Pelodiscus sinensis: one gene and its partners. The protein of the gene in region 1 interacts with the protein of each later gene in a pairwise test. Links are inferred from orthologs where the notes say so. Each region holds a gene or a part of one and is shown on either strand. Other genes may lie near its edges. The genes, in order: GIT1, HMOX2 and PFDN1.

What was found.
Region 2: the proteins of GIT1 (region 1) and HMOX2 interact in a two-hybrid assay, tested with the Homo sapiens proteins (2 studies listed by BioGRID and IntAct). The link is inferred for Pelodiscus sinensis from reciprocal best matches to the Homo sapiens genes GIT1 and HMOX2.
Region 3: the proteins of GIT1 (region 1) and PFDN1 interact in binary tests that used the Homo sapiens proteins (3 or more experiments, as listed by UniProt). The link is inferred for Pelodiscus sinensis from reciprocal best matches to the Homo sapiens genes GIT1 and PFDN1.

What each region holds. Positions count from the first base shown.
Region 1 is NC_134731.1:2,290,587-2,297,863, forward strand, and holds the start of GIT1 (ARF GTPase-activating protein GIT1), read right to left. Parts: upstream 3,050-7,277; 5' UTR 3,019-3,049; coding exon 2,700-3,018; intron 1-2,699. UniProt on the Homo sapiens protein: GTPase-activating protein for ADP ribosylation factor family members, including ARF1.
Region 2 is NC_134726.1:3,838,767-3,846,117, reverse strand, and holds the start of HMOX2 (heme oxygenase 2), read right to left. Parts: upstream 3,092-7,351; 5' UTR 2,938-3,091; intron 1-2,937.
Region 3 is NC_134727.1:2,154,844-2,161,884, reverse strand, and holds the start of PFDN1 (prefoldin subunit 1), read right to left. Parts: upstream 3,087-7,041; 5' UTR 2,994-3,086; coding exon 2,961-2,993; intron 2,049-2,960; coding exon 1,882-2,048; intron 1-1,881. UniProt on the Homo sapiens protein: Binds specifically to cytosolic chaperonin (c-CPN) and transfers target proteins to it. Binds to nascent polypeptide chain and promotes folding in an environment in which there are many competing pathways for nonnative proteins.

The DNA of each region.
Region 1 (7,277 bases):
TCTGCTCACAGGGAGGCCCCGGGCCTGCCTCTGCCTCGCGCTGCTCCCAGGCCACAGCCACAAGCTGCGGGCAGCACCCGCCCAAGCACCACCCAGGGGTCTCACCCGAGCAGGGCACGGAGCCCAGCGCGGGCAGCCCCAGGGACAGAGCCCAGCCCCCACGCCGCGGCTTGCCCTGCCCACACGCCCTGCCCCTCCTCAGCCCCAGCCGCCACGAGCTCAGCCTGCCACCGTGCGCCCCTTGCAGCTGGCGCCGGGTGGGCGGAGGCAGGGGGGCAGCAGCCCCAGCTCCCAGCTGGGCTCCCAACCTGATGAGCTGGGCCCTGGGGTCCAAGCCACAGGGACCGTGTGCAGGCCCCCCGCCGCTGGGCCGGAGCCCTGAGCTCTGCCCCACATGGGCCCAGCCCAGCGACCTGGCCAGCGCCCAGCGCTGGCACCGGGCCCTAGCCGGGCAGAGGGAGGTTTGGGAAGGGGCCGCCAGGACAGGCCTGACTAGGCCCGGACAAAGCCTCTGCAGCAGCCGGAGCCCGGCGCCCAGCTGAGGGAAGCAGGTTTGATGGGGGAGCAGGCCCAGCTCCAGCGCCTGCCACAGCCCTGCCCCAAGGAGTTACCCCTTCCCCATGCACCAGCCAGCACGCAAGCAGTGCCGGGGCCCCCGGCCTCCCCGCAGCTGAATGCCAGGAGGTGGGGGGCATGAGCACGACCCCCCCCAGCCCTGGCACCGGCCCCACAGCCCAGTTCCCGTTATCCCTGCAGAGGAAGCCGGGCTGCTGCGGATGGAGCCGGCCCGCCCCACGCTTCCTTCCTGGCTGCTCAAGAGCGCCTGGCCCAGGGACCTGTGCAGCAGCGCTGTGCTGACTCCCCGCACGGGGGCACCCTCCAGTCCCATGTGGCTCTGGGAGCGGGGAGGGGCCAGTGGCCAGGTTAGAGCCGGGGAGGGGGGGTGTCCCAGAGCTACCTGAAAAGGGCACGGAGGCCTCCTTCAGACACAGGCCTGTCCCGGCTCGCTACAGAGGAGCCCCCTGCCCAGGGCACAGCGCCGGTAAAGCGCCCGGGTTTCCAGCCCCCAAACAGCTCCCCAGCCTGTCTGCAGGGCACTGCAGAGCTCGCCACTGGTGGAGGGGCAGGCAGCCTGGCTCCCCCCGGCGCAGGAGCCCCTCCTGGCTGGCACCGGGGTGCACGACTGGGAAGGGGAGCTGGCCCCAAGCATGCCACCCCCTGGCTCGTCTCCGCTCTGCCCCACGGTGCGGGTGGGGAGGAAGCGCGCGTGCCCCACCCCCAGGCCCTGAAGGATGCGCGTGGGCACCTCGCAGGCGCGCAGATGGCTCAGGCACAGGCGGCCTTGGCAGGGAGACGGGCTGTGTCTGTGCTGTGTGCGCACAGCCGCCGGCAGGAACAGAACGCACCGCCCACCCCCCGGCTGCAGGCATCCCCAGGTGCCGAAGGGCACAGGGCAGGGGCAGCCGGAGCGACCCCACCCCCGGTGCCAGCCTGCCCTTCCCTTCCCTCTCGTAGCAGTAGGATCTCAGAAGCCACCGGGTGCGCAGGACGGCCTTGTGGCCCCGATCCCACCCTGAGCAGCTGGAAACATGGCACGGCTATAGCTGGCTCCCGGTGCCCGCCCATGCCCGGACAGCAAGGCCCTCTCCTGGGCACGCCAGCAGGGGGTGCCCTCTTCCCACCTCACCGCTGCTCAGCCCTGGGCCCTGCAGGGCACCTGCTTGGGAGCCCCCAGTACCCCTCGCTGGCATGTGCCCCAGGCCAGCCCATGCCAGGCACGTCCAGAGAGTAGCAGAGGGGGCAGGCCAGGGCTCCTGCCCAGCCCCAGGGGGTGGCTACCACAGGGAACTGGATTGGGGCCACAGATGTGCTGGGCTCTCAGCAGGCTGGGAACACCCCAGCGTGACCGCGCTCCCAGCTCTTGCCCAGCCCGAGGCCAGGCTGGCGCACACCCCCAGCCGGAAACAGCCCCGCTGGATTTTCAGGCTCATTTCCTCATGTGGCTATGGATGGAGGAGCCGGCTCCCAGTCCCACAGCGAGGGACCCCGTCACGCCAGGCTGGGCTCGGTGTGACACACGGGGGCACCACACCAGGGCCACGCCCAGCTCCCACAGACCATGTTCATCCGGGCACCGGGCCCCCATTCCAGCCCCGCGATCTGCCTACTCAACGCCCCAGCGGACGCACCCTCTCGCCCCGGCTGCCCCTGCCCACGGCACCCAACCAGACCCCTGCCGGGGAACCCTTCGTGCCCGACTGGCACGGCTCCCGGCCAGGGCTGGGGGGCACCCTGGGCTTTGGGAAACAAGAGCACTTGGCCTAGGGAGTCGCCGGGGTTGGCACCTGGGCAGCAGAGCCTGGGCTGGGGGGCACGGCGGGTGGGGCTGCTGGGGGGCAGGGGAGAGGCGCCCGGGCGGTGCGAGGGCTCCCACCGCCACCATGCGCCACGGCGCCGTGCCAGGGGCGCGTGCCCAGCCCGTGCCCAGCTGGCAGGGGCGCAGCGAGATTCCCCCCCCGGGCACCGGGCTCTCTGCATCCCCGCCAAGCCCACGCGGGCTCCATCCCCGGCAGGAAGGGCCCCCGCTCTACGCACCGGGGCGCGGGGGGGGCCGAGCCTGGGGAGGGCCGGGGTCCCCGCGCACAGCGCAGCCGCGGGGCCTGGCACTGGCCGGCCGGAGCCGCAGGCCGGGCGCTCACCTGGGGCGCTGCAGTCCGCGCACACCTCGCTGCGCGGCACCTTCCGGGACATCCTGCGCGGCGCGGCCTTGCGGGCCAGCTCGGGGCCGGGCCGGGCCGGGCCGTGCGGGGCTCGCGCCGCTCCCACGGCTCCGCGCTCCTGCAGGAAGCGGCGCAAGCCCGGCCCCTGCGCAGGGAGGGGTTGGGCGCAGGCTCCCCGCCCCCCCCGGGCCCGGCCTGCCGGAGGAAATGGAGCGGCGGGCGCACGGGGGCGCAGCGCAGCTCCAGCGCGCAGGGGCGGCGCGCAGCAGGGGGGCGCGGGCTCCGGTCCCTGCTCCATGCGGGCAGCCGGGGGCGCTCGTCTGCGCCGCGCCCCTGCCTTGCGCCCTGGCCCCCCGTCTGCACGCTGGGGCCCTGCCTGGGGCTGCCCGGGGTTCCCACCTCGGGGCCGCTCCGCTTTATTGGTTTCACACCTGCAACCCCCCCACCCCATTGGCCATTTGTTGTCCCTGGCTCTGCGCCCCTGCAGGAGGAGGCGGGGCCTTGGCTCGGGTCGGCTCCGCCCACTTTTGCAGGATTTCGGGGGGGGGGGGCTGCCAGCTGGCTCCCCTCGCAAGGTCTCTCCCCCATTGCCCCCCATGCATGGGGAAAGCTGCCACCATCTCAGCCATTACACCCCTCTGTGGGGCGACACTGCAGATCCCCCCCCAGGGCCAGCGGGGACTTCAGCGCCACTCTCTGGTGTGGTCCCTGCGTCCCCTGCCCCTTTCCACCCGCCAGGCCCGTCCTCTCAGACAGCCCGCTCAGCGCGTCCGCTGGCAGCCCCTCACCACTCTGCTCCCCGCCCCCATATGCCTGGGGGACCGACCCACGTCTCTGCTGCACGTTTCCACCTGCTCTCCAGGCCCGGCCCCGCACGCCCAGGGCCAGTTCTGCTCAAGAGCCGCCCGCCCGCCCGCAGGCCGGGACTAGGGATGTAACCGTCCATTAACCGATAAGCGAAAGCTCACAGGTCAGTGTTACAGACCACACGTATTCCCCTCCCCTCCCCTTGCCAGGAAAGGATTTAGCAGGCTGGCCAGCAGCCCGGCTCATGCCAGGTCTAGAACCTGCCCCTGCGGCGGCTCTGCTTTTAAAGTGTATCAGGAGCCAGGCGGGCGGACAGGCAGCCCCACTCAGTTCCGACTCGCACCAGGTCCAAGAGCTCAGATCCCCCTTGGACAGGGGCTGCTTTTTAAACTGGCTCCCCTTGTGGACCAGCTCCAGCCTGGCACCCCATGCTGCCTCTGATACACTGGCTGCCAGCCCCACCCCCGGGACTAGAGAATAGTCGACTAACCGATAAAAATGCACGAGGTTACTCGACTATTCCGTTAACCGATATTTAACATCCCTAGCCTGCACCCCAGCTGTGACAGCGGAGGAGGGAGAAACCCAGGGCAAGCTGGGAGCTACGGGGCTGAGTCCCTCTGCCCATCCCGGCCCTCCTCCCACCGGCGGCTGCAATAGCTCCACCGCCCCGCTCTGATCCAGGAACCTTGGTGGGGAACCCAGGTGCTGCTTGGGCCCAACGTGGGCATGGTTGGTGGTTCTGCGGCCACAGGTGCTGTCTGTGCCCATGCCCACACTCACGCTCAGCCTCTGTGCGCCGATCGGCGGGGAAAAGCCTCCCCCGCCCAGCTGGCCTCTTGCATGGAGAGCACCTGCCCAGCCCTGGGCCGAAGCACTGCTGTCCAGAGACACCCACGGGCACCAAGCCACCGCGCCTGGCGCTGGGCCCGGCCCTGCTGGGCAGGAGCCGTGGTGCAGACCCAGCTCGCTCCGCCCCCGGGTCTGCTCTGCACTGAGACAGGGTTGGGCCACAGAGCTGGGGTGCAGGATGCAGCTCTGGAGGGGGGATTGGGAAAAAAGACAAAATGCCTCTGGCGTGCCTGGGAACCCCAAAGAGCCGGGGAGGGGCCGTGAGCGCCTCAGGGCTAACCAAAGCCTGGAAGCCCGCCTGGGCCCTGGCCTGCCCCTGAGCTGTGGGAGCAGCCGCATCCTGCGTTCCCCTCCCCCGCCTGGCCCCCCAGCTCTTCCCAGCCCAGCTGCCCCTTGCACCCGCGAGGGTGAGGCCGCTGCCGGTTGCTGTGGAGACAGGTCTGATGTCACCGAGGATCGCTGGCTCCGCTGGGGAAATCGCTGGATCAGTTTGCGGGCGCCCTCCCCGGCATGTGTCAGAAGGGCCACCCCCTCCCTCCGGCAAGGACACGCTGAGCTACGGTCCAGGCCACGCTCCACAAGAAGGAGCACGTGACCGGGCGTCCCTGCTTCTGGAGCACCGTCCTCCAGGCCGCAGAGCCATAGGGTTGCCAGATGGTTTAACAAAAATACCGAACACCCTCCAAAAAAAAACAAACGGGAAAAAATTCTGTTGAGCAAAAAGAAAAAAAAAAAAAGGCACTGTGCCTTTAAATGGCGCTGAGCTCCTCACTTCCCCACACCTGCCAGATGCAGCAGGGGAAAATGCAGATGCAGCAGGCTTCCATCCGAGGGAAATCGGAAATACCGGACATTTCACATGTCCAATGTTTTCTGGTTTTTTACTGGATGGGGCAAACCGGACACCTGGCAACCCTACAGAGCCAGGCCCCTGGGCGCAGCCCACTAGCTTTCTCCCAATCACCCCCACCCTTTGGGAGCAGAGGGACGTGGGGGAGCCGCCCAGCCAGCCGTCGTCCCAGGGCGTTGCTCCCCGAGAAGAGTGGAACCTCGCCCCAGGGCGCCGGCTTCCCCCAGTTACAGGGGCCAGGCCCGGAGGCCAGCAATGCAGCACTAGGCGAGGAAGGGCAGGCCTGGCCCTGGACTCTCTCGGCGCCCGTGAAACCCGCGGGGGGGAGGGCAGGATCCTGAGGCCTGGGAAGGCGGGATGCACGTCCGGACGGGCACCGCTGCCCCAGGGCCGGCTTTGCCGAGGCGCTGGGCACCCTGGAGCCCACTGGCCAGGCTGGCGCTGAGCACTTCTGCCGGGGGGCGGGGCTGGCAGGACAGGACGCAAGCCCCCGGTAGCCCCGCTCCATTGGCAGCCCAGCAAATACCCCCCGGGGGTTCTCCCCCCTCCTCGCGCTTGCGTCCCCTTCACCAGCCTCACCCCCCCGCAGCCACCGCTGGGAAGGCAAAGGCCCTGTCTGCCCCCAGCCCTGTGCCCCGCACGTGCCGACTCGCCTGGGCGGAGGGCAGGGGCCGGCAGCAGGGGACCTGTGGCAGGTACAACCCCTCCCTAGCACTAGCCAATGTCTATGCCCGGGCGGGGAGGGGTTGCTAGTGCCGGCGCCCTGGGGTGGCACGCACCCTGCCCTGCCTGAGCAGCCCACGCCCTCGCCAGCTGGGCCCTTGCCACGCTGCAGGGGAAACGATCTCTGGTCGGCTCTGCTCTGGGGGCGTCCACACCCCTGTGGCTGCCTCCTGGCCCTGGGCTGCTCACAGCCGGGCCTGGGTGCTTAAGTGCCCATGCCCGTAGACAGGGGGTTGCTCTTTTAGGTGCCGGCCCACGCCGGGTGGGAGATGACTGGGCAGGGCGCTCCAACGCTGCCCTGGGGATGTGGCTGCGATAAAGGCTTGTTCACAGCTGGCCCAGCGAGCAACAGCACAGCCTAGACACCTGGTCTGGAGACAATGGGCCAGGGACCAGGGCACCAGGCTGGGTGTCAGGATGACTGCGGGCCACGCCCAGCTTTGCCACTGCCCTGCGTGGTAACCTTGGGCATGTCACTTCTCCTCCTGCCGGGTCTACCGTGTTGGGCTCCGTGGAGTGGGGACTGACGCCGCTACAGGTTTAGCTCCCTGCTCAGCTGCTGCTTGGAGGCCCACAGGCCTGGAAGAGCTGCTCTGTGGCCTGAGCTAGCTCCGGGATCAAAGTGGCTCCGGAAACCCCGCACACGGAACTCACACTAGTGAACCTTTGGGCGCACACTCAAAGTGTGAACCGTTCTAAGCCCCAGCCAGGGGCGCAGGGCACCCCCGAGGGCAGGGGGCGGGGCAAGGGCGTGACACGCTGTCAGCGTGCCCGTTATCCCATCGCCATGGCGAAGGATGGGGCTGTAGCCCAGGGGCCGAGGGGAAGACAATCCGCCAGGGCACGCTAGCAGCACTCCAAGTGTGACGCGTGTCTCTCTGACCCCCCCGCGCGTGGGCATGCACGACGCCACGTCGCCTGCCACGTCGCCTGCCACTGGGCTGGAGCATGGCCGCTGCTGAACAATGCAGAGCCACACACGCTGGGCCGAGAAATGCCAGCCCCAGCTGGGCGTGCGGGGGCTGCTCCTCGGAGCTGAATGCCGCTTTGTTGCGGCTCCTCGAGCAACCCCCCCTCCACCATGGCGCTGGGCTCAGCCGGCACGTCGCAAGCGGCTGCCCCGGCCCTGGAGAGCTGGCGCGCTGGGGAGGAAAACAGGCCTGGAGAGGGCTGGGTCCGGAAGGACGCCCCTGGTAATCCCCGCTCCTGCTGGGGCCGAGCGTGTGTGGCCTGTGGCTGCAGGGGCTGGCGGGGGGCGGAGGCAGAGTGGGACGGGCATGCCAAGCACAGGGGAATGGAAGGGGAAGCGGGGAAGTGTGTCATAT
Region 2 (7,351 bases), on another chromosome or scaffold:
CTAACAAAATAAACATGCCTGGAGAGTCCAGTTATTCATGGAAACCTGTACATAACTACTTGACAATATAATTTACAGTTGCCAGACTTGCCATAGAAAATTTAGTTCCACGTCTCTTTTGAAAATACAGGGTATAAGAGGGCAGAAGAGCTTTTTAATGGAAGGGGGAAAAATGGATGAGAGTAGGCTTTCCATGATATCATGGAACATCCTCCATGTTACTGTCACTCCACTGTGGCAGCTAGAACGTAGTCCCTCACATGATTGTGTCTCCAAGCTCATGTGCCATGCTGCATTTGACCAAGTACGTTATAGGAGTACAGATAGTCCCCAACTTACAAACGAGTTACATACCAAGCACTTGGTTGTAACTCGATCTGTTTGTAAGTCGGACCCCATTCAATTACATGTAACTGCGCTGTTCTTAAGCGCGGATTGTGTGTTCGTAACTCGGGGACATGCTTAATGGGAGGTTGGTTGTAAGGCTGAACGGTCGTAAATCGATGCATTTGTAGCTTAGGGACTACCTGTATGACACTTTTCAATTAAACATACAATAATGTATGTCCATAGCCAAAAGCAGGAAACTGGATCTGATGAAGCAGGGACATGATCTTTTAGTTTTATTGTTCACATTTGTTGGGAACAGGTGGGAGATTTCCTGTGATTGCTAAGAGTAGATATTTGTGAACCTTCCCATCTTCTTTTCAAGATTGCAGGAAGGAACACATCTGGGATGGATGCTTCCTTATCTCAGTACAAGCAAGAGATTATCTTTGATTCCTAAATGGTAGAGGAGTAAACTGTTAATCATCTGGTTGAACAAGACACTTAGTAAGCCCAACACTAAACAATTCAAAAAAACAGCAAGCCAACTAGATAAATTCAGAGGTGTATGCCTATAACTGATTTCAGAATGAAGATATTCCAGAGACAATACTTCTAGTACAGCAGTCAGTTTCTTCAGGAGTCAGCTGGAGTTAAGCGGAAGAGGTATCCGGTGGGCAGCAAAAAGCAGTACATCTATGAATTGTGATACTACAAGGAAATGCTGACATACGGGAAAACTGAAGATCTTTCGATTAAAAAAAAAAAATCACATTATTGGTTTATTTTGAAATTGTCCAAGTATATCCTGTGGTTTGACTAGACAACAGAAGGAACCTATTGAGGAAACTAAATTCCCAGCAGCAGTTTTTTGACATTTACTTTAGGAAAATCTCTGTCTCTGCTAGGTCACAAATTATGGCTCACTGGATCAATTAACCACTGTTCAAGCAGTTTTCATTATGATTGATGCACTGGCATATTAGAAATGTAACTAGGCCTGGCATAGTCTGTTGTACCAACCAATTTCATTGGAGTGAGAAGACTGCAGATTTTCCTGAGTGATTTCCAGAAATAAGGCATGTAGAAAAGAGTAACATATTGTTTGTGTCTTGTTAATGGATTACCATGGTTAGCAGATTAAATATATTTCTAGTGCCCTGCTGCCTCTGCTCCGATTGGCTCCATTTCTTTAGTACATTTTTATAAAACTGTTTACAGAGAAAGATAAAAATACCAAGTCATTTATGAGTCATTTATACCATAAGAAAGCAGGTAGTGTGTTTTCTGGGTATTTCTACTTACAGTGATATGGCCCTTTACAAAGTCATCTAATCTGTCTTCTCAACACAAACAGTTCCTTCCTTAAGAAAATGCTATGTAATCTGGAGAAAGTTGTTATAAGGAGGAGGGAGAAATATTGTTCTCCTTAACCACTGAGGATAGGACAAGAAGCAACAGGCTTAAACTGCAGCAAGGGCAGTTTAGGATGGACATTAGGAAAAGCTTCCCATTAGGGTATTTAAACATTGGAATAAATTACCTAAAGAAGTTGCAAAATCTGCATCATCTTACCTACTCTTAAAACCCCAAACACATACCAGGTATGGTCTAGATCAGAGGTTCTCAAACTTATGATACCGCAACCCCCCTCTAAATTGTTTGCAATCTCCCTCTAAGTTGCTCACGACCCCATGGGATATCAGGACCCACAGTTTGAGGAAACGCTGGTCTAGATAATACTTAGTCCTGAGTGCAGGGGAGTGAACTACTGAGATCCCTTCCAGTCCTATAATTCTGTGCTTCAGTAATGCAGTTACTCATCCACGCATAATACTTGTCAAACATTTGCTTGCTTGTTTGCAACGCACTCCCGTTACCACGAAGAATTTTTAGCAAGCCCATCAGTTCCTTTTACACCCAGCTCCAGACACGCAACACTGAAATTAGCCTGAGACCTCCAGTCACACAAGTATGCTCTATTCTTAAAGATACGCTCATGCACAGGCTCTATTGTGTTCCTAACCAGAATGATTTAAGCAATAAGCTTAACGAGGAGGACGCTGCGGGTCGGCCAGTGATCGACACAGAGTAGCTAGATGGGGGGCAAGGGGACTGCTGGGCCCTTGCGCAATACGGCGGGGAGGGGCAGGGGCTGCACGGGGAGAGCCAGACCCCAGCGCCACCCGGACCACACTGCGGCCACCCGAAACTTGCCGGGCTCCGGGAGTAGCAGCAGCTGCCGGGCCCCGGGGCAGCAAGGGAAGGGCGGAGCCCGGCCCAGCACAGGCGGGCCCAGCGGGAGGAGACCGAAGCTGAAGGAGGGGCGAGGGGAGCAGGCGGGAACGGCTGCACCCGGCCAGGGCGGCCGTGACACGAGGCCTCGGGCGCGGACCCCGCCGGGCCCGCCCCGTCCACCCGCGCGCGCCCCACCCCGGCCCGGCCCCCGCGCTCGCGCCCGGCTCAACGCCCGTTGCCAGGGCTACGGCTCCGCGGCCCCTCGCTCCCCGGGCCGCCCGCCCCTGCCCGAGGCGGCTCCCGCGGCCGCGCGCCCACCCGGCCGGCAGGGGGTCCGCGCCCCCTCAGGGCTAGTCCCTCCCGCGCGCTCACCCGCTCGGCAACAGCTCCCCTCGGCGCCGCAGCTGCCCTGGCTGCTGAAAGGGGCGGGACAAAAGCCTCCGGCGGGGATTAATTATTCATGTGCGGGCGGGGCAGCGCCGCGCTTCTCTGTCCTTCAGCCCAGGCTGACGTGATCGGCGCGGTGACGTAACAGTGCCCACCCCTTTGCAGAGGCCCCGCCCACAGGTCGTGGTGCGCAGCCTCCTGCTCCCTCCGCTCCCTTGGCGGCTCCTGCGCTCCCACTGGGGGTTGGGTCCCTGGCTCCTGCAACACCCTCAGGGGCTGTGTCTAGACTGGCCCGTTTTTCCGGAAAATCAGCCGCTTCTCTGGAAAATCTTCCCAGCTGCCTACACTGGCCGCTTGAATTCCCGCAAGAGCCCTGACTTCCTACTGTCCGAAATCAGCGCTTCTTGCAGAAATGCTACGCTGCTCCCTTCGGGCAAAAGTCCCCTTTGCGCAAAAGTTTTGTGCCAAAGGGCCAGTGTAGACAGCTGAGATTTGTTTTCCACAAAAGCGCATCTAGATTGGCCACAGATGCTTTTCCGCAAAAAGTGCTTTTGCGGAAAATTGTCCGTGCCCATCTAGACGCTCTGTTCCGAAAATGCTTTTAACGGAAAACTTTTCCATTAAAAGCATTTCTGGAAAATCATGCCAGTCTAGACGTAGCCCCTGTGTCCCATCCTGTCTGTCACCAGCACTGAGCGCCCCAGGGCCTGCCAGACTCCCCCCGCCCCGCGCTAGGCAATAGACTAGACTCACTGACCCTCCAATCGCACCCATCCACGCACCTCCCATCCTGCCCCTTCTCCTAGCCCCAGATCACCCCACCCTCTGCCCCCCCCCCCCCCCCCGCACTCTCAGTCAACAAAGGAAATCAGATTGATAGGGAACGATTTGGTCTCACAAATCCACGACAGAAAGTCCTTATAAGCCCATTCTTTTCCAGGTGCTTATAAGTTGATCGTTTTCAATAGCTTAGTATCAAAGTTAGGCTGACTGTTTATAATTCCCTGGGTCCTCGTTTATCACCCCTTTTAAAAGTAGGCATTACCTCTTCTGGGACCTCACCTATCCTGCACGAGTTCTCAAACAATTCTGCAATTGCTTCAGCTAGTTCCTTAAGTACCCTAGGATGCATGTCATTAGGACCTGCTGACTTAAGTACTCTAAATTATCTAACTATTCCTATCCTAATCTTTCCCTTTTTTGTTAATATTAATTCTATTCAGTGGGTCACCATTGACCACTTTGGTTAAGATTAAAGCAAGATAGGTAATAAATAGCTCACTCATTTCCTCATAAGAAAAGTAACCTACACTTTCTCTTTCTCTTGCTCCTAGTGTATTTTAAAAACTTATTACCTTTGCTGACCCTTGCTAAGTTAACTCATTTTGTGCCTTAGCCTTTCTGAGTTTGTTCCTACAGGTTTGTACTATTCTTTTGTATACCTGCTTAGTGATTTGTCCACGTTTCCACTTTTTGTAAAATTCCTTTTTGATTTGTGGGTCTTTAAAGAGCTCCTGTTGGAACCATATTGGCCTCTTAATAATCTTCCTATCTTTCCTTTCAGAAGGATAATTTGCAGTTGTGCCTTTAACATTGTCTCCTTGAGAACAAGCTCGATGACTTACACTCCTCTTTCCCTTAGGCCATGTCTACAATAAAGAGGAAGGTTAAATTAAGATATGCTACTCCAGCACTGTTAATTACATAGCTGGAGTTGACATGCCTTAATTAGAGTTTCCCCTTGTTCCCACAGCAGGAAGCTGATGGGAGCAAACTCCCCCACTGGCTTCCCTTACTCCCCACAAGAGCAAGGTGAGGACCTATGACAGGGGCACTCTCTGAGTTTGATTTAGCGGGCCTTTACTAGATCCACTAAATGGAATTCCGGAAGATCAATCATGGCACCATCAATCTTCCCCCAGTGAAGACATGGCCTTAGAATTTTCTTCCCATCTGGCTTTATCTACCAGTACTTCGAGTGAATTTGCTTTTTTGAAATCCATTGTCCTGATTCTGTTGCTCTCACTCCTTCCTTTCCTTAGAATCATGAAATCTATCATTTCATGGTCGCTTTCACCCAAACTGTCTTCCACCTTCAGCTTCCTATCAAGTCTTTCGTATTCATGAGAATCAAGTCAAAAACAGCTGTCCCCCAGTTATTTCCTCCATTTCCTGGAACAAGTTGTCTTGTCTTGGAAGATAAAGTTGTCTACAATACCTTCCAAGAACTTAATGGACATTTTGTGTTTTGCCGTATTACATTTCCAAGAGATCCCCCATTGCTAGCAGGTTTTGTGTTTTGGATATTTCTGTAATCCTCTGTCCTTAGTGAATTTCTTGACCCATGCTTCTCAGGCTCCTGGAAGAATAATTCCTCTCCCAAGCTCCTCCTCGGCCTCCCAAGGAAAAGTCTCTCCCCACAATCTTAAATTAAAACAATAGGTCACAAACTCTGGCCCTTTTAGGGCAACCGCAGAAAGCTGTTTGGCCGCATGTTGCTGGTTCTTCTTTTTTTCCCGCTGTTCTTTTCCATTAAAGGAAATGACAAATACTAAAACACTGAATGTGATTTGTAAGAAATTGCTTCAGTTGCCATGGAGAAGATATATGATGGTGAATGACAAGGAAATCAGTCTGCAAGCAAACAGAGGGGGGAGGAAGGAAAGGAGATGGGCAAGCAGTCATAAATAGGAGGTTGGCAGTCATGACTGGAGGGAAATGCCCACAAGACACTCTTTAGTAAGGGGTGGTTCCCACGATGGTGAAGGTTGAGAACTCCTGAATTAGACACAGAGAAGGATTTGCTGTTTTACTTGTTCTGCTGCTCAGTTTCTCAGTGCCACCTGCCACCCTTTGTGTTGGATGCAGCTTTCATATCCTTCACTCATGGATAAGCTGCTGCTCTGAACTGAACTGCGCTAAATAAATTCCGGACTCATTGACTAACTGGGGCATCTAACCTGAGCCTGAGAACATGGATTCCTGTCTTAGTTTCCCTGTAAGGTAGCATGTGGAAGTCCCCGTCCCTCCCCCAGGAGAGTGCAACACACAGAGAGCACATGGCCCCTGCAGTTGGCCACTCTGAATGGTATGTGGGGCTGCGGCAAGCAGGGAGCCTGCCTGAGGCTTCCACTGGGCTGATGGCTGGGAGCCGCCTAAGGTAAGCACCTCCCAGGCAGAGCCTGCACCTGGCACTCCACCCACACCCTCCTCCCAACCCTCTGTCCTCTCACCTGCATCCCTAACTCAGTTCACAATCATGCTTCTTCACCCATATCTCCTCCTAGACCCTGCATGCCAATCCCCTGGCTCAGGTCACAAGCCCCTCCTATCCTAGGTCACCACCTAAACCACTGCATTCTGCCCCAGGTTACAACACCCTCCCATGCCCTGTGCCCTGACCTCTACCCCTCCTCCAGAGCAGAATGCTCTCCTGCACCTATACCCCCTCCCAGACCTGACACCTCCTCCTGTACCTCAGTTTCCTGCCCCAGATCATACCCCAAATCCCTGCACCCCCTTATATACTCATGCCCCAACTCACAACCCACTCCTTCACCCAAATTCCCTCCCAGATCTCACATCTCCCCCATTAATATCATGGAAGAGAGTGGCCCTTGACCACTTACCAAATTCTTGGAGTGGCCTCCCTGATATATAATCTTACTATATATTTTAGAAATGTGCGTCTGTCAGCCTGTCCATCTGTCTGAGTCCCTTTGTTCAAGAACTCCTCCTAAAGGGTAAGAGCTAGGACCACCAAATTCGGTAGCCAACTTCCTCTTATCATAACTTAAAGCAAGGTCAGGGGTTGGTTGTGCCAGGACAATGGGATGTGCCTAGAATCTGATTGTTTTCTATAATGTGGAAAAGGAAAGGGCTCGTGTAGAATGACTACTGGCAGGGATGGGGCAGCAAGGAGCCAGATGGGGACCAGGCTAGCTATACCCTCATTGGGCCAGCAGGGCGCAGGGGTGAAGAAAGGGCCAGCTATCTACTATATACTATATATTTCAGAGAGTTTGTCTGTCCCCCAGACAAGGGACATGCACTCTTCCCCCAGCTGTGCCTGCTGCACATTCAGCCTGGACAATAAGGCGTACATTTCTAAGTGAGGGTAATTAGCCATCGGAACAATTTACCAGCAGTCACGGTAGCGTATCCATTGCTGGCAATTTTTCAAATAAAGATGGTCTGTTTTTCTAAAAGCTTTGCTCGAGGAGTTATTTTGGGGACGTTTCAAGCCCTGTGCTATACAAAAGCCCAGACTGAACGATCACAGCAGTCTCTTCTCGTCCTGGAATCTATGAATGGGAGAATGGTGGAATGCTGGGATCAGAAGATTCCACGGCAGATGGGAATGATCCTGAAGATGGGAGCTGAATGGGCTCAATGCCTC
Region 3 (7,041 bases), on another chromosome or scaffold:
TTGTTGCATGTAGTTTTTGCCTGCTAGATGGGTTAGTGACTTATGACATACAGGAGGACAGACTAGATGGATCTGGTAGTCTGTTCTGGCCTTAAACTCTATGACTTTGATCTGCCTACAGGCTGCATCATTCACTTCTCTGCCTCATTGGAAGGGATTGAAATTAATTTCCTTTGAAGGTGCCTGTCAATACGACCTCCATATAACACCACAAAATTCAATTCAGCGGCATGAATAATGTGCTTACTCGCAGTTTACAGGACACAAAGAGACAGTACATACAGTATACTGGACCCCTAGAAGAGAGACACAGAACACCCCTTCAAGTGGCAATTTGTCGATACTATGATACAATACCAGAAAGAAAAACCTTAGTACTCCCAAACCTTGGTCTGTCTTTAATTTTCAGAGCATTAAGCACAAACACTTATCCATTAAGAATGTGCTATTAACTTAAAGACTAGTTCATGTAGCCTTTTACAAGAGGGTATCGTAATCACAATAGGAAAGCATCATTAGCATTCCATCAAATTTTGATGTGCCAGACCCGAGACATCAAAATACAGAGTAGCTTTAAAAACAACAAATTGTCTGGTAGCACTTTATAAAAGTTATACCAGACTATTTGTTGTTTTTTCTGTACAGACTAACTCGGCTACCCCGATAGTAGCTTTAGTTTAAGATTGGACTGTCTTCAAAAGAAACCTATGTGCAAAGATTACATTTTCCTTCTTTACTAGTATTGTTTTAAAATTAATATATGCCAGAGTGCACCTGAACAAACAATTCTTTGGTATCAATTTCACTACACCTGGGTCTCTAAAGAGTCCAGAGAACACCTTTCACAGAACTTAAAGAAGTCACCATTTTAGTTCCTTTGTACAACCACAGCCCCTGAACGAGTGCATTAAATTAGGAGACCCACAATTTTTAGGGACAAATACATATTTCATGAGGCATAAAGTTGAACAGGCTAATTATAACTTCTTGCAAATCTACATTTTGTCATCAGCATTCATGAGGAATACAAACTCTGCTGGTGGAATCGATAAACTTTCATGAAGTCCCAAATGTGATTATAGTTCACATGAGAAAAACCAACAAACAAAAATATGTAATCACTCACTGAAATAAATTGTGTCTGAAAACTGGTAGGTAGCAAACATTGTACCTATAAGGTTGATCCTGAGAAACACAGTGCAGTAAGGGGGGAGGGATAGCTCAGTGGTTTGAGCATTGGCCTGCTAAACCCAGAGTTGTGAGTTCAATCCTTGCAAAGGCCATTTAGGGATTTGGGACAAAAATTCATCAGGGATGGTACTTGGTCCTGCTGTGAAGGCAGGGGACTGGACTCGATGACCTTGCAAGGTCCCTTCCAGTTCTAGGAGACAGGCAATCTCCATTACTAAAGTCTCACTTACCGAAGATCCATTGAAATGATAATTAAAAATGGGATAAGATGACACCTAAACAAACACAGTATGATACAAAAAAGCCAGAATGCTTTTCAAACAAATAAGTGACAATGAGAGAGCCTCTGTCCCTGTATTCAACAACTTACAGGAGATAGAAAAGCCCTGCAGATGGCCAAGAGTGAATTTCCCCTGTGCAGGATCACCACTATTCTAACTGCCACCTCTGGATACGACAGTTTCCCATTCTCATACAAAGAAGGTATGTTTTGAAAAAGAAGAGTAGAGGTATAGCAGGTAAGATGTAATACAGAAGGCATCTAATATTTACAAACCTGGTATTGCTTCATTGACTGTAGAAAGAAATCTCTCAAAGTGGCATAATCTACATGCAATTAATTACAGCAGGTTTTATTGGCAATGGGGCAGAGTGTAGCCGTAACCTTCTCCATCAGTAAAAATTACTCACATTCTCCCTACACCTTCATACATGCGAGTCTCATCCACCAGAGTCATAATCTCCGCATCCGTGAGGTGTGCGTGCTTTTTTGTCCTGTTGAGTTGTTCAATTTGTATATCTGCCAGCTTCACCTTTTGCTGCGTGTCGATAACTTTGGCCTGCAGTTCAGTAAAAGCCTAATGGGGGGGGGGGGAGAGAGGGCCCGTTACGGCTTGGGAAAGGATGCTCTCGAGCACTATGGCCATAGCACGTTGGGCTGCTGTTTCCGTTTGGAGCAGCAGGGGCTTGCAAGGGAAGGGCCCCCAGAGATATGGGCCAAGGCCAGGGCCAGGGCCAGGGCCCCCCCCAGCGACACGGGCCAGGGCCAGGGCCCCCCCCCGCGACACGGGCCAGGGCCAGGCCCCCCCTCCCGCGACACGGGCCAGGGCCAGGGCCAGGCCCCCCCTCCCGCGACACGGGCCAGGGCCAGGGCCAGGGCCCCCCCCAGCGACACGGGCCAGGGCCAGGGCCCCCCCCCCAGCGACACGGGCCAGGGCCAGGGCCCCCCCCCCAGCGACACGGGCCAGGGCCAGGGCCCCCCCCAGCGACACGGGCCAGGGCCAGGGCCCCCCCCAGCGACACGGGCCAGGGCCAGGGCCCCCCCCCCAGCGACACGGGCCAGGGCCAGGGCCCCCCCCCAGCGACACGGGCCAGGGCCAGGGCCCCCCCCCAGCGACACGGGCCAGGGCCAGGGTCCCCCCCCAGCGACACGGGCCAGGCCCCCCCTCCCGCGACACGGGCCAGGGCCAGGGCCCCCCCCAGCGACACGGGCCAGGGCCAGGGTCCCCCCCCAGCGACACGGGCCAGGCCCCCCCTCCCGCGACACGGGCCAGGGCCAGGGCCCCCCCCCGCGACACGGGCCAGGCCCCCCCAGCGACACGGGCCAGGGCCCCCCCGAGAGACTCGGGCCGGGCCGCGGGCGGGGGGAGGGGCAGGGCCCCGCTGTTTGCCCGGGCCAGGCTCGGGACACCCAGCAAGGGCGGCCCCGGGGCCTCCGGCTGCAGCCCCCGAGCGCCGCCCCCAGCGCCCCAGGCGGGCCCGGCCGGTACCTTCTTCAGCTCCAGGTCCACGGGCGCCGCCATGTTGCCGCACTCTGCGCACGCGCATTCAACGGAGCGGGAATTGCTCCAGTGCGCGTGCGCAGCAACAAGAGCGGCTGGCTCAGCACCCAGCAGCACGTGCTGTGACCAGCAACCCGGGAGCGGAAGGGGGAGGGGGAGGGGCAGCCTTGCACCACCCCAGGGGCAGCCTTGCACACAGAAGCTTTGCATCCCCCCAAGGGGCGGCCTTGCACACAACCATGTAGACTCCAAGGCAATCCAGGAGGGTTGTCAACCCTACCAGCAAGACAACCCCCCCCCCCCCCCCATTGCACTGCAGCAGGGATACCACCCAGATCCACTTCAGGCCATTGGAGCTAACGGAGAATCACCATTAGAATCTGCAATATGGGGCTTTTGACACACAGTGGAGCAGCTCTAACTCCATCCCATAGAAAGTGGTGCCAGTACATACCAGCCCAGGCCACTGCAGAATTGTAGTGGCTGGAAGTCTGCACTGTTGCAAATCGATCAAGAGGCCACATAAACATAATGGATAGCTCATCACACTATATAGGTGGACATGTAGCCTGTAATTATAGGTTGCCAACCAGGGACCAGAAACAGTATCACGTGACTGTACATGTAGTTATTAATTAGCATTATTACATAACAGGTGTGTTTGGCATTTTATCAGCCAATATGAAGATAAAGTCCTTGCCTGAGGAGCTGGGCATCCCAGGAATTATTCCGGTTCCCGTGAAAGTCAACAGGAGCATGCCATTGACGTCAGTGAGGGTAGGGCCTGGTGTAATTACACTGGAAGATTTCACAAGGAATGACGGGAGGGTGAATCAAAGGGAAAGGAGAAGCTGTTATTGAGAGAGCATTGTCCACCAGGATTCAGATCAGTTCACTAGTGACTGTTGTGGGTTTTAATTCGCATTGGAATTAAAGTTATGGAGCCGTTTTGTTTCCCAGAGTCTGAGCCTCAAGCGAGGAAGCATAAAATCCCACAGCACTTGTAGTGATCAAATGCAATGTGGAAAGTAGGATTTAATTGGAACGGTTTGTAATGTTAGATCAGATTAATTTGTTGATGTGGGTGCAGTGCTTTAAACATGTAGGCTATGTCTAGACTGGCATGATTTTCCGGAAATGCTTTTAACGGAAAAGTTTTCCGTTAAAAGCATTTTCGGAAAAGAGCGTCTAGATTGGCATGGACGCTTTTCCGCAAAACCACTTTTTGCGGAAGAGCGTCCGTGGCCAATCTAGACGCGCTTTTCCGCAAAAAAGCCCCAATCGCCATTTTCGCGATCGGGGCTTTTTTGCGGAAAACAAATCTGAGCTGTCTACACTGGAAAAGTTTTGCGCAAAAGAGACTTTTGCCCAAGCGGGAGCAGCATAGTATTTCCGCAAAAAGCACTAATTTCTTACAGTAGGAAGTCAGTGCTTTTGCGGAAATTCAAGCGGCCAGTGTAGACAGCTGGCAAGTTTTTCCGGAAAAGCGGCTGATTTTCTGGAAAAACTGGCCAGTCTAGACACAGCCGTAAAGCATCATAGGGCTAATCTTGAGAAGTGCTAAGAACCTGTGGCTTCTGTTGGTTTTAATGGAAACATTGGCCAGTGCCTGACCACCCAGGTTCTTATACCCCATGCAAGAGAAGATATAAACGCCCTGTAATCCATTTGTGCAATACTACACCACCAAGCAAAATTCATTCCTGAGCAGGCAGTGATGAGCTTACAGCCTGAAACATGAGGATTGGCAGCTCCTCTAATTTACTGTCATTGCAGACATTCATAGAAAGGGTTGTTCTTTTTACAAAGCCTCTCCCAGCCTTTTTGGAAACGTACCTAACTATATACAGCCGTTTAAGGAGACATTATATTAAAATGCATTTCCCTTTGTCCATTTAAAATGTGTTGCTTTCCAATTTCATTGAAAGGATTTCTGCCCCTCCGTTGCAGGCAGCCTCCAACTGCTTCTTAATTTGAAGAAATAGGGAGGTCTCAATCCTGCATCCTGTGGACAAGTGTCCTCATCACAGAAACCATAGCTACAGTAGGGACAAATAGCCAGTCTTATTGGAACCTCAGCAGAGAGCCAAGGACTGAAAGAGTCATAGGAACGCTACCTAACGGAGCCCTCCCAGGTCAGAGTCCGGGTTCATTGGCATGGCAGGGCTGGCGAGCTGCCTTCGGCTGCCCACTGTTCCAGTCCCGTGCAGGGTTCTCAGCCCAGCACCTTGCACTAGCAGGACAGGTGCATACAAGTGGGATTTTAAAGAACTGAAAAGCCTGCCCCGTACATCAGAGCGAGGAGTCCCAGGAACTGTCCCCTTCAATCCACGAGCTCCAGGGTGGCCCAGTGCTGATCCAAAGCATGTCTCATTCAGCAGGGCTGCTGCAGTGCGTGGGATGAGCACTGGAGCACAAGCGAATGCGTTGTGAAAGGGTTGCTCTCTTCCAGCTTAGGGGGAGTCACATGCTGAGCAGAACCAAACACAGGGATCCTAGAATGACACAACCCTCAGGCTGACTCTCAGTTTGAATTCCCGAAAGGGGGTGTGCAATGCAAAAAGCTCGCAAAATAGGCTCCTGGGCTGAGGACTGGAGCGGCTTTGTGTGACTGTTGTTAGCAACCAAATTCCTTTTTGCTAATGGTGACCAGGTGAGGTCACCTCTAGAAAAATGTGCAGAGCAAGGAAGTGAGTTATTCCTCCTAGCCAGAATGCTGGCGCTGGATTTGCTGTGTTGGTTTAAGCAAACCGCCCTTTCACATGCCGTAGTGGGAGCATTTGGTATTGATTTGGGTGATCTAAAGCCGTGTGGCAGACACGGCGCAGGATGGCATGCGGGTGTGGGCTGTTTGTCTCCGCACCCATTAGTGAGAGTGAGGAGATCCCTATGGCCAGAGGAAAATGGGTAACTAAGGCACAAAGTCAGAACTATCGCTAACGACAGAGGCAGACTGATGATTATTAAGAAGACCTTGCTGTGACATGGGGCCCCTCATCCAGGCAGAGCCTGACTTGCTTTACAAAAGAGCTTTTGGAAACGTAAGACATAAACCAGAAGTGAGCCCCAGGGCTGCTGAGCCGTGCCCCAACCATCCCAGGGAACCCCAGCCTACAGTCACACACAGAAACACATCCAGCTCTCTCCTGGATATATATGTAGTCCAGCCACATTATAACATGTCCCCTTCTGTCCGCATAAGGGAGAATACCACATCCTCCCACCCTGAGAGATACGGTGGCCTATACCACGGCTATGATATTTTCTTTCTGGCCACACAGTGAAGGATAAATCATAACGAGGTTGGGCCATTACTGGGTTAAAACAGCCTAGTTTATATCTGGTTATTTGTGCTGTGTAGACATGGCCTAGTGTAGGGGTAGCCAACCCATTAAAGGCAAAGAGCCACAATAGTTGGGGATATAGCACAAAGAGCCAGGGGGGGGAAGTTGTCGAGCAAAAAAAAAGGGGGGGGGACACTGCGCCTTTAAACAGAACTCTGGGTGGCAGTGAGCACAGAGAAACAGGGGACGGGGGCCATTTTTAGGGGCACAGGGTTAGCCTTGTGAGCCATGGGGGAGGCTTCCTGAGCCACACTTGAAGTGGGGGGAAAGAGCCGCATGCAGCTTGCGAGCCGTGGGTTGGCCAGCCCTGGCCTACTGTATGAATTCCATAGGGCTTCTGTCCACACTACGGTTTGGATGGGACTCTGTCCTCCCCCCTTTCTGCCTTCAGGGCAGCTGAGAGCGATGGCGAGTGCCCTAATGTGGACGTGGCATCATGTGCTTTTAGCACGGCATCAACTACACTTACTGGCTGTGTCTAGATTGGCCAGTTTTTCCAGAAAATCAGCCACTTTTCCGGAAAAACTTGCCAGCTGTCTACACTGGCCACTTGAATTTCCGCAAAAGCACTGACTTCCTGCTGTAAGAAATCAGTGCTTCTTGCGGAAATACTATGCTGCTCCCGTTCAGGCAAAAGTCCCTTTTGCGCGAAACTTTGGTGCAAAAGGGCCAGTGTAGACAGCTCAGATTTGTTTTCCACAAAAAAGCCCCGATTGTGAAAATGG